3 linked regions of the Drosophila melanogaster genome follow. The protein of the gene in region 3 interacts with the protein of the main gene of each other region in a pairwise test. Each region holds a gene or a part of one and is shown on either strand. Other genes may lie near its edges.

Region 1 (6,884 bases), on a different chromosome or scaffold from region 3:
TTACCTGTGGGCCAACAAGACGCTGTTTAATCAGATTTCCCTGCGCTCCATCGATCCTTTGGAGCCGGCTCCGTACGTGGGATTGCCCACGAATGTGTGCGATGCCATGGAACTGGAAGATGGCATGAAGGAGCTAGAGATCGACGAAGAGGACGAGTCAAAACTCGGCGAGCTAGTTGACACCAAGTACGAAACTCCAACGCAGCTGTCCGAGGAACTGATAACGCTATCCGGGTTGGCTGCATCCCGTTGGCAGAATCTATTGGATTTGGAGCTAATCAAGCAACGTAACAAGCCCAAGGCACCACCAAAAGCTCCCAAACAGGCCCCATTCTTCCTGCCCACGGTTTCGGGACTGGAACTGCGCTTCGATGTGGAGAACGGTCAGAAGGAGGAGGATGAATCCCGGATTCGGAAGGCTTCTACTCTCAACAATCTTACTGCCTTTGGCCAGCTGCTGGAGGAAACTGCTGACTCCCTGGACTTCGCATCGGCTGTGGCGCACTTGACCCAACTAGGACCATCGATGGTTGACTTTGAGATCAAATCTCTGCACCCGGAGGCTGGAGGAACACTCCTTGCCATGCTGCAGTTCCTCAAACTCGTTAAGTTCATGTTTGGAACCAATCTGAACTTTGAGCTGGCTCAATCGTATCTAAGCGTCTTCTTGCGATCCCACGGTCTCGGGTTGACGGAGTTCCCGGATTTGGTAAAGGAGCTGCGCACTGTGTCCCAGGTGCAGCAGGAGGCTTGGCAGCGTGTGGAGGAGAAGCTCATCTATGGAACTGGAGTTGTGGCCGCTCTCCGAAACTTTGCGCACTAGTTTCCACCAGATTATGTTGTAGTTCATTTTGAAATTTTGTAAATAAATTTACAAAACATTTTACATTTTGAATTTGCTTTTGATGTTATTCCTTGCGACAGGCAGGTCCGCAGATTCATTTATAGGATGCTTTATAATCCTCAACAACTACAAAATCCCTCATTATATCCTTAACGATTTAATGGCATTACCATATATATCCCAAACTATCCTTATCTTTCTTTTTATCTTTTACTTATCCCAGATAGCATTTTAAATAATGTACTCAAGACGAAACTACTGCCATATGCCTGATATCTCCAATTGGCATTATTCGAATGATTCACACCTGCGGGTGACTATGCAGCGATTATGGAATCAATAGATAGCCGGAGGAAGGCAAGTGATACTGGAACTATGGGAAGAAGAATATACAGCATTTGGGTTGAAATTGTGTATTAATTATTTATTTGTTATATCCGTTTAAACTAACGCTTTTATTTATGCTGGAATTAAATAACTTAAACTTGTTCCTAGACGTGTTCGCTGGCGCGGACTTTAGATACGGTTCTAGTGGCGGCTAATTTCAATTTCAGTTTAGTTTAGTTTCAGTTTCCGTTTTCGATTCTTTGACAATCCAACGCAACATAAACATAAAGAAAAATGTTGGTTTACAAACAACCACGCGTTATAGACATAGTGCATATATCTGATAAGTTTCTTTGATTTATACCTAAATATCGTAGCTTGCATGAAATAACTTTAGATCTCTCGATTGGTTGGGCCTCCTAGTGTGAATTGGATGGTGTTTTAAGGTGCTTTTGGGAGTTCTTCGGCACTTGCAAGCGCAATTACAGTGTTCCGGGAGCTGGTTTACATATTATTACGGCTTGTTGGTTGGGGTATTATTAGGGCTGTGTGTCCGGGGATGCAACACGCAGCGGGGGCGCTTAACTCGATGTGCACTGCTGGACGCGTGGGCCATCCTGATAGCCGCCATCGTCCTCATCGTAGGCCATGCGCTGGTGTTGCTGGCGACGTTGCTTGGGATCAAAGTCCTCCTGCGAAAGATAAGCAAATCGATAAATAAATTAATTATAAATAATATATTATTTATATATCGTGATATAAACTACTACTGAAATACTCACCAAAACCGTCTGCTCTGCATCGATTGGAATGTCAACCTCCGGCGCCGGGGGTAGGCACTGTTTAAGCGTGGGCACCACCGACGGATTGATCACCTCCGGGAAGATCACCTCGAACTGGATGATCAACGTGCCCTTCTCCATGGGGTTCTTGAAAATGGGCATACCCTCCTCGGCAATACACTTGGTCATCTCATGCCTGATAACCTCGCCGGGCTGTGTGGACACAATCAGATCGCGATCATCGAGCGTTTTAACGATTCGCTGGAATCCGCAGAGCGCTTCGACAAGTTGCAACGGCATCTTCATCATTAAATCCTGTCCGGCGTGCGCGAATGTGGAGTGCTCCTTCTCGTCCAAAAGAATAATAATATCGCCCGGCTGAGATTCCGGCTCATGATCGCCCTCTCCCGTGAACACGATCTTCTGGCCATCCCGCATTCCCTTCTCAATGTGCACTTCCAATACCTTGCGTTCCCGCACCGTTTTGCGGCCACTGCAGTTCTTGCAGCGGTCCTTCTCCTGAATGGTCTCGCCAGTTCCCGAACACTTGCGGCACACCTGCTCGATGTGCTGCATGATGCCGGGGGCGATCTGCTGAACCCGTGTCTCCACACCGTTACCACGGCACTGCAAGCACTTCTCAATGCTGCCCTTCTTGCCGCCGCGACCCTCGCACTTGTCGCAGATCACATTCTTCTGGAGCTGCAGCTTGCGGGTCGCTCCATTGTACAGCTCCTCCAGCTGTACGGACATCTGGTGCACCACGTCCTTGCCACGCCTCTCGCGCCTGCGTCCACCGCCACTACCTCCGAATCCAGCGCCAAAGAACTTCTCAAAGAAGTCCATAGGATTGCGGAAGTCACCGGAATCTGCGCCGCCCTTCTTGATGGCCGCCTCGCCGCCTTCGTCGTACACCTGTCGCTTGTCCGCATCGGACAGCACTTCGTAAGCCTGCGAAATGGCCTTGAATTTCTCGCCCTCGTTGGGGTTCTTGTCCGGATGGTACTTGAGGGCCAGCTTGCGGTAAGCCTTCTTCAGCTCGTCGGGCGTGGCATTAGGCTTCACGCCAAGTATATCATAATATCCAGTCTCCTTAACCATTTTGTTTGCTGTTTACTGTGAACAGACGAAGTAGTGCGTAATTACTATCTGGGAGCTTGTAAATAACAGATTGGGGAACAGATTTGTGTATGCTCCAGGCATATATAGGTAGAAATTATGAAGTTGTGTAATACCGAAAATTTTTGAAGTTTCAACCGATTTGGATGCCAGTTCTTATAAAAAATGAAAAAAAAAAATTTATTTTGTGGTGCTGTTTCTATGGCAGCTAGGTTCCCGATGGAAGTTATTGTCAGTTTTATATCTAATGACATTTCATAGTTCAAAGGGCTGATTCCTCTCTAACTAGTATTGTAAACAAAAATCAGTAACCTATATTTTGTTACCCATTTTTTTTTGTAGAAATACATTTTTCAAAATCCAGAAACCACTCGATCATATGACCCTTTCTTGTTTATTGATTTCTACAGCTGTGACTTGATGCCATCACCCATTTTTTTCCGTGTAATTTGGGGGGCAACGGAAAATAGTAGGCATTGCCGGAAGCTAGAGCCCGGGATTCAAGGTCGTTACGCCGCCATGTGTTCGCGAAAATAACTGCGACGTTTTCTAGTCGATTTTCTAGAACAATTGTCGTATTTCAATACGGCGAGCAGCTGACGCTCTCTTTCCCCCTTTCGACAACAACCGCTTCTCTTTCGCACGCACACATACACACAGTTTCTAGAAGTTTTCGTCAGCGCATTGCAGCCCTGGTTTTGCGAACGGCGACTGCAAAGCGGAGAGGGTAATAATGAAAAAACCGTAAAAGAACGAAAAGGGGAACAAATGAAAGGAGAAAGGGCAGAGTCGAAAATAAGAATGGAAATGAATTCTAGAAGCAGCCTTCGATTTAGCAGGCAAATCAATAGATACAATTATTATATTTTCACCAGTGCCTAGCACACACATGCACCAGACTTTGCGCTTGTATGCGTACCAACATGTGCCGCGCAAGACGCTGCGTCAGAAGAATTCGATTGAACAAAGAAGAGAAAAAAAGCTAGATGGCCATCGATTTTGCAAATCTAATGCCAAAAATCGAAGGCAAATTCTCTGACAAAAAACAATTATCGATGATTACTTAACGACAGAGATGAGAAAACCAAGCGCAAAGGAAGTGTCTACCAAGTAGACACACACATTGGCAAACCGCACAATGCGAGACGAAATGTGCAAAATCAGGTGGTAATCTTAATTAGCCCAGAGCCGCCCCAGCTCACCTTTTTTCGTGTCGTGTCGTGCCTAAAGCAAATAGTAACTTTCGCAGCCCGATTCCTGGAAGTTTCACTTTTACAACAAATTTAATTTACGTCGAATACTTTTCAACAGCTTACTATGGCCGCCACGCTAGGAAGAAAACTGGAAACCAGTGTGACCAGAGCGGCAAACGGCAAGAAAAACCACAACATCAGGGTTGCCTCGCACCGCAAAGGTCCGAAAACTGGTATTTTAGTCATTTTCAGGTGATTAGCAATTTTTGATAATTTGATGGGATATAATATGTATTTCTTAAGTGTGATGGGCATTACAGAAATAATTTTGGCAATGCATTAATAAATACTGTGTTGAATAAATATTTTTCTTATTTATTAAGTTGAGTGGTTCTCAAAGTACTCCTTCTGAGTCCACGATTCTTATTAGCAATCGTTAGCCCTGGTTAGTGATATTCATCAGCTGTTTAGCAGTACAGTAAATGGTCACACTGTTTTGAAAGCCGATTATTTAATAAACATTTGGAAAACTTTATAAAATAAAACTACTTATCCGAAATGAGACACGTGCAGTTTCTGGCCCGCACCGTTCTGGTGCAAAACAATAATGTGGAGGAGGCGTGTCGTCTGTTAAATCGCGTCTTGGGAAAAGAAGAACTGCTCGACCAATTTCGCCGCACGCGATTCTACGAAAAGCCGTATCAGGTTCGACTTTAAATAACTTAACTATTTATTATTATTTACTGTATTAAACTATTGTATAGGTTCGTCGTCGCATCAACTTCGAGAAATGCAAGGCCATTTACAACGAGGACATGAACCGAAAAATTCAGTTCGTACTGCGCAAAAATCGCGCCGAACCTTTTCCTGGATGCAGTTAAACTAGTTTTTGAGGCAATAAAATGTAGGAATTAAATAAATTGCTTATTTTCTAGTACGAGATTTGCTGTCGCTGTCGATAAATGGACTTTGCAATTTCGATTTTATCCATTCAAAAAAGTATGAAGTTTTTGTGTAAAATGCTGGCTTGCAAGTTTTAAGTACGCAGGGCTTCTGTCCGTAGGAGATTATGCCGGCTGCATAAGTGAGTGTGACCTTTCCACGTATCACGGTCTCCATTAAGGGTCCCCCGGAATCGCCGGGACTGGTGTCATTCCCATCCAGACCACCAGCACATATCTGACTGCCCAAATTAAAGTCATAATTTGATTTGCACACATCTGGATGCCGTTCCGCGATGAAGCTGCGCAAGAGTACCTCACTTGCAATTCCTTGTCCCATGTCTGGCCAGCCGGATGCTTGAAACTTTCGCTTATGCGCGGCCAATTTTTGGGCTCTTGGAAGGCAAATAGGTTGGATGGCTCTCGTATAGCTATAGGAAGATATAAAGATATATTATTTCAATTCATATCCTACTTCTATTTCGACCAGAGGAGAATCATTACTCACCGCACAGGAAACTTAAGACGCACGAGTGCTATGTCGTTTATCAGCCGCCTTCCCCGGTTGAATTGTTCATGCGTAATAATTTGGTCCACTTCAATTTCCATATAAAGAGGAGCGTACTGTCTTCTTCCATTCACAATAGCCCGATCGGGATTTGTGGACGTGTTATGTTCGCCCAGTCTCACTGTTTTGAGGGCATACGGATAGTCCATAAATGGATACTCCACGCAGTGCGCTGCGGTCAGGACGTACCAGTTGTTTATTAGGGATCCACCACATTTTGGTACCAGCTTCTGGGACAAATTGTTTTTATTTCCATATAACAGCATGGCCATCCAGGGAAACTCATTCAGCGCCGGTATTTTGCCCTTCGTAGGTTTTCTTCTTGATTGTCCACAAGTATCGTGTGGCAGATACGTTTCCCACTTGGGGCAGCACACTTTATTAGTGCCGCATCTTCTAAGACCTATTATATTTTTCCTGGATGAGTTCATAACTGCTCTGGTCCTGGGACACTTATCCAGATTCACGCATTCCGTATCAAATTGACACCCTGAAGGAAGGATAGATTTTAAATTGCGTACAAAGTTTATGCATGCTGAAAGTTACCTGCACCATTTGAATAAGGCACAAGAATTATTTGCAGCATAAGCAAAAATGATCCTATAAGTCCGAACAACATGTTGATCCACGAATATTTCACATACAACTGTTCAAGACTGTTAGGACTGTCGAAGCTATTTATTCTTATTTTTAACATTGTTCTGAGTAGTTTTATTCAATTTTTAATCAATTTATTGCTCATCAAAAGAACAATTTTTTATGCTAGTAGCGACAGAGCTCTCAAATATTACGGAACTATTTAAAAATGTCATTATGAAAACAGTTTCGGATGCAGAAAACGGTTTCTGGTTAGAATTTTGCTGTTGAGTACCATATGTGTGCTTTGAGTGATTTTCTCTCTTTATGAGAATAACTTAGATAGCTTTTTGCGGCAGGAGAGACAAAATGAAGCTTTTGTGGCCGCAGTGTTCCACGGTATACGGCTCAGAATACTTTCTTTCCTCGAACGCAGCAGACCTGCCTACCTTTTCACGTAAACTAGAAATCTGAGAGATAAAACAAGTTACAAGTCAGGTCGATTTTTAAAGAAGTGATTTATAATAAAAGAAA
Region 2 (5,485 bases), on a different chromosome or scaffold from region 3:
AAAAAAATGACGTATTCATGGAATGAAAACAAGTTTTGAATTGAATCTAAACCTACAGAAATCTTCATTACGTTAAATATTTTCTATGTTATGTTGAATGATCTCTCTTCGTTCAATTACGAAGTGTAAAATGTGAAATATAATTTTTTGTTAATTACATCTTTAAAGATATCATTAAATACGAAGACAGCTATACTAACCAGTTCATTACAAGCAAAAATCCATAAACTGCTTGCTGTTTATAAAAATCAAAGCCCTGGGGCGTGCATGTTCTCCCTTTTTGGGCTCTTTTTTTTATTTTAGATTAAACTCACACATTATATTTATGCAACTACAACTACATCGGAGGAATTCTGCAGCGGCACAGGAGTTGGAGTGTTTGCCTCCAGCTCGCAGATCGTATAATTCTGCATGCGGTTTAGGGGCTTGCTGCACAGCCCACACATCTGGTGCTTATACACGCCGTATATCTCGAAATTCAGGATGTTGTACAGATCGAACTGGATGGTGGAGGACAGCTGCGTACACTCCACAATTAAAATATTTTGCTCGTTAAGTTCCACGCTGAAAGGGCATATGGCGTTTATAAAATTGTATATAAAAGCTAAAAAGCATTCTTACCGGAAGTCGTAGTCACTAGTCTCAATTGGCCATTGATATGGCTTTTTGCGCACGTTGTGCGGTGTTTGATCCTGGTTAAGATATATGAGCACTGGTTCATCCGTGGGCAGGCTGCTGTTGTCTGTGCGGGCGCGGAAGTTGAAGTAGTTTTGCCCGATATGGACTCGTAATCCATAGTTGGTGGACAGTCCTTGAACAGGCGAAGGCGTAACAAACACTGCAATCTGTGGCAATGGCGAACAGTCAGCCACCAGCAGCGTGAGACAGTCGGGACGCACCGCAATCTCTCTGAGATTGATTAGGTAATCATCGAAGGTATTGACTATGCCATTGATTACTGAGCAGGAGCGCTTAAGTCCTGAGTCGAAGGTAAGCTCGTGGGAAGCGTCGAACTTCGAGTCCAGCTTGTAGAAGAAGGGGATCTGATGGAAACGCCACTTCACTCCGTTGACCTCCACAGCCAGCCTGAACTGGTCCTGAGGAGTTTGCATTGATATATTTATCTCCTGGCTCATATGCAGACTGTCCACCTTGTCGGCGGATAAGGCGGACACTAAGTGGTCCAGTCGATTCGACCACAGCTCGAACCAGGCGGGCATCTTAAAAAATATAAAGGTGAGTTGATTGGTCTTTTATATATCTTTTCGGAGCGGAAAGTAATTTGATATATCTGATATACTTACATTGTCAAACTTCAGGTCCATGTCGTATTGTGTGATCGAGGTGAAGTTCTCAAAGTTGCTACGCTTGCAATACCTGGAAGTGGGTATGGGCGAGAACTTCAGTACCTCCTTGGGACAGAAGTCGGTGTCCGTCAGCGAGATCTTGTCGGAGCGGAGGAAGGCACGGGCATGCTCCGAGGGCTGGCGAGATGAAAACGTTGGGTTAAAAGAGAATCCACTTCGGGCTTATGTACACTTACACCAGCTCTAGCTGCAAACTGCACCGTGGAACCCTTCTCCGGGCACTCGCTCTCCTCGGTGGCCAGGCCAAACACCACATCGCCATTCAGAGTGTGAGGTCGCTTGGTAAACACCAGCGGTTCATAGGTCAACTTGGTGCAGGCCTAAGGAAAATTATGCAAATGAGTGAGAAAATCCTGTATCCTTAAGTGAAACACCATGTGTTTTTTTTAATGCTTTTTAAAATAAACCTAAAATCTGTCAACTTGATTTTCCAATTATGAAATATGGAATACAATTTAATTTCCTAGCCGGTGGTTCTTCACACAGTATGTCCCAGTAGGTCAATAGCCAGCTATGCTCGGCACGAGTCAAGTGCTCCTTTTGGGTGGCGGGTGTGACACCCTGTAAGTATTATGTAGTTACACTGCTTTCCTCAAGCGTGGAGGCAAGAAAATGTGGGGTTCAGCTGTTCGCTGAAGCTCCAGGCGAGTGGAGTGGGCCACATTACCATGACGAAACAGCAGACAACGGAGCCACAACAACTGCAGCAACGATTAGCGAACCCACACACATCCTGACTGTATGATTGTATGGCCCTCTTCCGCCCCACCGTTCGTGCCTGCGTGCCACCTTACTACACACACACACACACACGCAACCCATCCTTTCAAGCACTCAAGCAGTCGCCGCAATTGTTGGCCCACATTCGTGGGTTGTTTGCGTCCCGGAATCGAGACCGAGAACCGAGTCTGGCAACCGGACTAGAGTAAAGCAGGCCTGGCGGTGTAAGTAGCCCCGTTTGATCAATACGACTCGGTGGGAGCTCAGTAGAAGGCATCCAGTTACGCTACTGTTCAGACGAATTTCTCCTGTCGTAAATTTGTTTTGGGAAAAAATTACATTTTCTTTTATTTTGTAAGAACGCTGTAAAAATCTGGAAAAAAGACCCAGTGCTCTCGACCTATTTTATTTCGGTACCGCCATCGGGAGCATTCAGTTGCGTTGCTTTTATAAATTTATGTTTACTTGATTCTCGGTCGGACAAACTGCAAAATGACTTCGGTAAGTGATATATAAGAAGCATAATAGATATGGATTCTTATGTAGCCACTTTACCTGCTTCTCCAGATCGAGTCAAAACGCGTCCAATATCGAAAGTATTTGGAACGCGCCGGAGTCATCGATGCCTTAAGCAAGGCTCTGATTAAGCTTTACGAAGAGCAGAATAAGCCGGAGGATGCCATTCGCTTTGTACGCAAGTTTATGTGCGAGAGCTGCCCGGACGATGCCCAGTACGATGTAATGAAGAACGACCTCGAGGAGGCCAAGACCCACATCTCGAAACTGGAGCAGGAGCTTGAACGGCTACGCGGACAAATGTGAGTTTCTAAGATCGCGTCTTGTCTGTCCAGTCTTGATTTAGATTCTATTTACACTCAATAGCAAAAAGTCACCGGAGGAGTACCAGGAGCTCACTACTGAGGGCTACAAATCGCTCATGGATGATGAGGAGAACGTGAGCTCACTGCTGCGCAAATACCTGACTCCGGAATTGCTGGAGGAGTACATGCTGGTCACCACACCTGCGCCGGTGGATGCCTACCTATACGATTGCGCCGTCTCCGGATTCGAGCACCACGACGCGCCCGTGGGCATTTTCGCGGCAGATGCTGACAGCTATGACGTGTTCAACAAACTCTTTGATCCGATCATAAAGGACTATCATGGCCAGATGGACAACGAGAACGATGTGCTGCAGAAAGACCCAGACTTTGGCAACGTGGACGAGATCGAGAACTTGGATCCGGAGCGCAAGTACATTCTGTCCGCACGAATCAGATTGGCTCGCAATATCGAAGGTCTGCCCTTCTTCCCCAAACTGACCGAGAAGCAATTCATAGAGGTGGAGGAGAAGGTGCGTTCGGCCACGGAGACAATGGATGGCGAGCTGATTGGCTCCTATCTGACAATGGCGGACATCGATGCTGAGACCCAGGCGGAGATGGTCAAGAGACATATATTATTCCAGCGCGGCGATGAGAAGCTGACCACAGCCGGCTGCTATCGTTTCTGGCCAACTGGTCGTGGTGTCTACCACAATCCCGCCGAGACCTTCTTGATCTGGGTGAATCGCCAGGACCATGTGCACATTATGTCCATGGCACAGTGCGGCGACTTGGGCGATGTTTACAATCGCCTTGTCAACGGTCTAACCGAACTGGAGAAGACGTTGGCCTTTGCCCGGCATCCGCGTTATGGAAACCTTACGGCTTGCCCCACCAATTTGGGCACCACCCTGCGGGCTTCGGTGCACATCCGTCTGCCGCTACTCAGCAAGGACCCCGATCGTCTACTCGCCCTCGCCGAGGAACAGCAGCTGCAGGTACGCGGCACCGATGGCGGCGAGCTGTCCACCGTGGAAGATGGTGTCATGGACATATCAAATAAGAGGAAGCTTGGTTTCACCGAGTTCGAACTGGTCAAAACTCTGCAGGATGGCGTTGTGACCCTGATTAACGCAGAGGAAGAGCTCGAAATATCCGGACAGGAGGGTTAGAAACAAATAGCCAATACTTAAAAACCTTGTAAAGCAATTAATATCACTATAAAGTACTCACGAACACTCACAGACGAACACTTAGAGAAACAGGAGAAACGTATCTTTGGTTAAATAAATTTGTCCCTAGCCACAGACAATCACTCACCTTCCAGTCGTCCTCGTCATCCTTTGAATTTCGCTGAACCTGGCCGGTCAGCTTGAACCAATTGGACTTGGTCGATGCCAGCACGTCCAGGGTAATGTTCCATCTATGAAGTGCATCCGCAGCATGATTTTCGTTCATGTGGTCCGTGTGCTCCAATGTAAGGCCGATCTGCTTGCCTTTCATGTCCGACGTTTTCAAAACGTCTTCGGCACAAAAGTTACCTTCGATCTGAACGAAAATTGGTTTTAGCTTTAAATATTGTTAAATATTTAATTTTATTTCTCACCCTGGTGTTCTTCTCGTTGTACATAAGCATGGTAAAGTTGCGATCGTGGCCCAGGTGTATGGAACTTAGCTGGGTGAAGCCAAATATGTACATCAAAGCATTGACCACCATATTGCCGGAGAACCCACTGGAAGTGAAGTGATTAGCTGAGTAGCAAATCGGTTTCGAAATTCAAAAATTACTTCTCCGTGAACTCGGACTTTAGCAGCATCCCCCTGTACTTGATGAGCTCGTTGAGATTGGTGGTCATGCTCAGTCGGACGCCCAAATCCGTCATTGGGTAGCTAAATAGTTGAACCTGCGAGCTTGACTTTATTATTATTCTTAATTTTACCCATTTTCAGATGCTTAAAGTAGTTAATTAAATTTAGTTAATTTATTTCATATATTTTGGTATTATTTTTCTCAACAAAACACTTACCACATCGTTCCGACCCTCGGGCACCATGATCTCTTCGAAGGGCGCCGCCGCTGTCTTCGTGATCAAACCCCTGGTCTTGGTCACCGCCCGCGACTTGAAGGACAGGCCACTGGTCAGGTTTTGGGGTCGGGAGAAGGAGTAGCGCCTGCACTTACTGCCACTCTCGTTCAGATGCAGTTCGCTGCTAAAGGGGATGTAGATGAGGAAGCCCTGCTCCCGGTTGATCTCGTGATCGAGGTTGAGGAACGGATTGTAGCTACGACTCCGCACCGAGGCGTATGAAGAGTATCGGGCATCGATTTCCAGCGTGTGCTTGGTTATGGGCGAGTTCCGCTGCTCTGTTATATTACCACGCAACGAGGTTAGTACGGTGGTCTGCAGCAGGACGTCGGAGGAGGTTCCCAGCACCGTGGGCACCGTGTAGCGATTCATGAAAGGCCAACGAACAGTCTGCATGTTTATGTGACTGTCTGTCCGAATGATTTGCTGCATTCTTTCCAGAACTGTGGAAAACGGGCATGAACCGCACATGGCTGATGGTCAAGAG
Region 3 (4,735 bases):
CTGTGCAAAACGTGCGAAATGCTAAACGGAAATGGAATCTACAAATGATCAACAAAAACTACTCATTTAATAGTTAGGGTTATTGCAGGTACTTTTTCAAATCAAGATTATCTTCTCTTTTAAATAACTTCTAAAATTTCTCCCGCAAGTTATCCTTTTTTGTGTGTATAGTTTTCAAAGTGCTTCAAGGATATTCATTGTTTTTAGTATCGATGGCCATTAGAAGATCTTATGCCTTTTTATATTTTGTTCGTATATGTAACCTTACGTCACATCCGTCGCTAAAAGGAATTTCGCACTCGTTTCTTAGGAATTCTATAGAATTGCGCACAACAATTACTATTTATGGTGGGATTTCCCAACCCGAAGGATTTCTATTAAGGAACACTTTATCTCTGTGTGGATGAAGAGTCCAAAAAGGCAAATTGAAGGGGCTTAAGAAAAATTTTGATAACAGTGAGAAACCATCAATGAAAAGTCAGCTGGGATTCTTAGACAAAAAATCAATTCTATATTTGTGGTATGTAAATGATTATTCAATGTTAACTCAATCTTAACTAAATACCATTGTTTGCACTTGGACCTGGTTAAAACCAATTAACTTAGCCGATGAGAATAGCCGAATTTAGAGTTAATTAATTTTAGTTTATCATTCCTTTAACAAGAATGATTTATTAAGCTTTTCACTTCCTTTCTTTTCAAATTAAAAATAAATGCTTGTAAACAGATAAAACGAAAATGATGATAAATAATGCACTGCTTCCAGTAGAAATATAAAGCAGATAAATCGATCCAATTTACACATCCACTGGAATAAAACAATTTAATTATAGGGTACACGCGATCATTAGACTCCCATCTATCCATTTTCGAATAAGTTTTTACTTCCTTCTCAAAAACAGGTCATGATTATTATTTCGGTGCAATTAAAATGTGTCTTGACTTCTTAGGAAGTAGAAAAGGAAATTTAGTTTTCCTAATGCTAAAGCATTAGTTAAGGGAATATGAATAAAGGGAACTATCTAATTACATTTAAAACTTGTTTAGTTTTACAATTCCTTTTGAAAACACAAATTCTTTCCAAATGACACCTTTTATTCTACGCTCCGTTAATCAACAAACAAACACAACACTGCTGCAGGTCGAATATTAAAATAAAAGGCAATACCCTTCCTTAGACGGAAATGTAGACAATTGCAAGCCAATTGAAGAGGGACGATCAGACGGTTGACAAAATCAGTCGTTTGAGCCAGCAGAACGGAAGTTCCATATAGGGCGCACACTCAAATATTCCGATGAGGGTTTTGGATCCGCGTTTAGGTTCTGGGGCGTGCCTGTCCCAATTTGGCCGGAGAAAGTCTTGAAATTTCTATCAGAATAATGTCGTATTCCATTTCCGAACACACACTAAAATCAGTTACCGAAATAAAAACACAAAAATGCCATTTCGTGGAGACAACTTCAAGGACTTTAAAGAAATAAATAAAATTCGAAAGGAGAACAATAAATACAAGTACATCGCTGTTTTCATCACAGTTATACCCGGCATTATATTGGGCGGATTTATGGGCAAGAAATTGGCCCAATTCCTCGAAGTATTTGATCTTTATGCGCCCGATGTCTCGGAAGATGATTAATATAACAACCATGGCGCATATGGAACTTCTACATGGTGAACCAAATGAATTTGGAGCAAACTTGTGCATATCCTGTTTGGATATATGCTAATGTGCCAATCCAAACAGGCCAAACGGGATGCTAGGAAAGAAAACTCAACGCAAACAACTGCCCAGACCGGTAACCAAATTCAAAGCAGGGTAATAAGTGCACAGATCAATTGAATCATAATTAGTGCAAAGAGCTCAAAATCAAACAAGTTTTTAACAATAAATGTGCCTTTTCATTCATGTATTTAGAATGGTTTCTTTCTAGGGAAGGTGTCCATTTCATATTAAGCATCTTACCCAACGTCAGCTTTATATTTTATAATTCAAGATTTTTTAGTGTAGGTCGCGCAATTAAATAATTTTTAATTATGACACAATTACCTAGAACAAACGCGAGTTTCCAGTCTATGTAGAGCATGAATTGTAGTTTGAATTGCAGATGAGCGTTGCTCGCCCGCAGATTTGGTCATCGCCAGGCTTTAATTGCAACTAGTAAGTGTGGAAATTTGCTTCTTTAGATTTGGGTTAGACTTTCATTTAGAACAAGCACGCATACATTTAACAAATTTCGTATACTAACATGCTAAATATGTGCACACATTTATCAGTACTCGTACACCTAGCTTATATTTTTATTTTGCCATTCTTACTTTTAAATATTTCTTGGTTCTCAAATATTATGATCTCAAAAAACATAACGTTTGGCATAATTCAAATAATTAAATTTGATGCATCCCTGGAGTGACTATAACGGCTAAAATACTAAAAATGTCTTGCAGTATTTTTATACTACACCTACACCTACAAAACAAAACAACTATTATCAACAGCTGATCGCACGAAAAACATAAACAAATGGTTTAGGTTGTAGAATTTCCTTTAATGTCAGACAGCGTAGCTCGAAAATTGTTTAGAAAATAACTCCATAAAGTGTAGTAAAAATGTGGTTGGCTGGGAATCTGTTCAAAGGATCCGTAGCAATCAGATTCGGTCGCTTGCTGCATCTCAAGCGCAAGGAGGTTTATATGGTGAGTACAAGTTGTCTCAAGATTTCTAGCATTTCGAACCATTATGCAATATTGCACCTGCTATCTTTAGGAATGCTTCCGCATCCTGGGCGTTCACGAATCAGCTGATCAGAATACGGTACGCCACGCCTACTTGGATCTGGTGAAACGGGTGCATCCCGATTCGGGAACGGAGGAGGCCAGTGCCGAACGCTTCCAGCAGGTGGACGAGGCTTTCCGTGTGCTGCAGGAAAAGTTCGCCAAGGGAAGGCGAAACATTCAGGAGGACGAGGAGGGGGCCATGGAGTTTGACATCAAGCATACGGCGCCGCAGCACCGGCAATATCTGTCCAACGAGGGCATCGGAGTGGGAACTCCATTTCAGCGGCAAAAGCAGTACCAGCAGGTGCGCGCCATGAAGGCTCAGGAACGCGTCCTGGAGCACCGCATCGACAAGGCGGCTGCCGGAGAGAAAACACTAATGTCCAAGGGCGGCAGCCACTTTCGGAAACATGCTATTAAGACCAAGTACGGTATTGATCGTGTGGTCGAGGATCTCATTCAGGAGGCCATGTCCAAGGGTGACTTTAACAATCTAAACGGGTCTGGAAAGCCCCTGTCCTCGGCTCAGTCGCAGAATCCCTATCTGGACTTTACGACCCACAAGTTGAACAAGATTATGTTAGACAACGGCTTCACGCCGGAATGGATAAGCCTGGGCAAGGATATTCGCGATGCGATTGCTCAGCTGAAGACGAAACTGCGCCAGGAGCGCAAATACTACGGCGAATGGCCATTGCAGCGCCCGGACGATCTGGCAGCCTGGAAAATATTCACGCTGAATCACCAGGACGATGTGAAGCAATTGAACAAACTCATTGACAAGTACAATCTAATAGTGCCCATTCTGGAAAATCAGTTCTTTCGCCTGCATCTCGACAGAATGGCCGAACCTATATTTAAGGATCCGGAATTGCAACGTAACGTAATCAGACCCGAAATGAAATCTAAGCCCAGCAGCAATCTAGAGAATCAGGGCAGCGCTAGTACAAGTTTATTTTCCCTAATTAGCAAACTATTGTAATTAAAAATGTGTGATTGTAAAATATGTGATATTAGATGTAGATTAAGGTGCTGTACGTTTATGTGTACAATATATGTACGAAATAGTTCAATAATCCAAGAGACCTTTTTGTTATTATAACATTAAAATCATTGATATGTTCTTTGTTGTAAATCGAGTGATAAAAAATATTGGATTTTTTTATATATAGTTTAATTAATGTGTACAAATTTTTTGCGATTTTTTTAATCAAACTTGAAGTTTATTAATATATTTTTGTAGTTTTTATATAAAAAGAAACGCAGCCTAAACCTATAAAAATTGCTATACAACTTATTAACGTCAAATTATCGCTGAATGTTCAAGATTATAATTATAACTAATTTGACAAAAAGTCTTCGAGTAAGATAAACTCATCCCTGCTTGTTATATTTAAATTGTCAGGTTTCACAAGCTGGCATTTACTGACTGCTGACTTCCGGAGAAATGAGAGCTGTTCCGTTGACCAACATTGCTAATGCCCTTGGAAAAGCCCAGTGCTCAGCCTTGTGGATGCGTTGGGTCAGCGAATCCTCGTCGTCATCGGGCAAAATGGGAACAGCAGCCTGAACAATGATCGCTCCCGTGTCCACACCCTCGTCCACGAAGTGAACCGTGCAGCCGGACTCCTTTTCGCCCGCCTCCAAGGCCTGCTTCTGGACATGCAGACCAGGATACTTGGGCAGCAGCGAGGGATGGATATTGACGAGCCGTCCACGCCACTCTCGAACGAATGGAGCACTCAGGACACGCATGAAGCCGGCAAGGCAGATCAAATCCACACGAGCCGCCTTCAGATTTCGCGTAAGTTCCGCATCATAGACCTCTCGGCTAGCGAAATCCTTGTGGGAGATGACCAACGAAGGTATTCCGGCTTGCGTGGCTCGCTGCAGACCCAGAACACCAGTCTTATTGCTGATTACCAGCACAACATCGGCATGGATACCCTGTGCCGAGTC

The links. Proteins that work in one complex are often made in the same cells at the same time.
Region 1: the proteins of CG43322 (region 3) and Droj2 interact in a two-hybrid assay, tested with the Drosophila melanogaster proteins (one large-scale study listed by BioGRID).
Region 2: the proteins of CG43322 (region 3) and CG4546 interact in a two-hybrid assay, tested with the Drosophila melanogaster proteins (one large-scale study listed by BioGRID).

Annotation. Positions count from the first base shown.
Region 1 is NT_033777.3:13,379,649-13,386,532, reverse strand, and holds Droj2 (DnaJ-like-2), read right to left. Parts: upstream 4,428-6,884; 5' UTR 4,389-4,427; exon of another isoform or gene 4,330-4,388; 5' UTR 4,275-4,329; intron 3,712-4,274; exon of another isoform or gene 3,421-3,711; intron 3,269-3,420; exon of another isoform or gene 3,070-3,268; 5' UTR 3,055-3,069; coding exon 1,954-3,054; intron 1,864-1,953; coding exon 1,753-1,863; 3' UTR 1,250-1,752; downstream 1-1,249. Other genes in the region: CG9799 (uncharacterized protein), read left to right, coding at 1-823; mRpS21 (mitochondrial ribosomal protein S21), read left to right, coding at 4,824-4,970, 5,030-5,146; CG8870 (uncharacterized protein), read right to left, coding at 5,190-5,637, 5,715-6,264, 6,321-6,393.
Region 2 is NT_033777.3:15,844,201-15,849,685, forward strand, and holds CG4546 (uncharacterized protein), read left to right. Parts: upstream 1-2,333; 5' UTR 2,334-2,579; coding exon 2,580-2,588; intron 2,589-2,654; coding exon 2,655-2,905; intron 2,906-2,969; coding exon 2,970-4,083; 3' UTR 4,084-4,231; downstream 4,232-5,485. Other genes in the region: cv-d (crossveinless d), read right to left, coding at 324-564, 622-1,220, 1,305-1,484, 1,544-1,687, 4,232-4,459, 4,518-4,644, 4,700-4,815, 4,939-5,441.
Region 3 is NT_033779.5:7,010,888-7,015,622, forward strand, and holds CG43322 (uncharacterized protein), read left to right. Parts: upstream 1-2,508; 5' UTR 2,509-2,608; coding exon 2,609-2,695; intron 2,696-2,765; coding exon 2,766-3,758; 3' UTR 3,759-3,850; downstream 3,851-4,735. Other genes in the region: CG43321 (uncharacterized protein), read left to right, coding at 1,440-1,637; GART trifunctional enzyme, read right to left, coding at 4,199-4,735.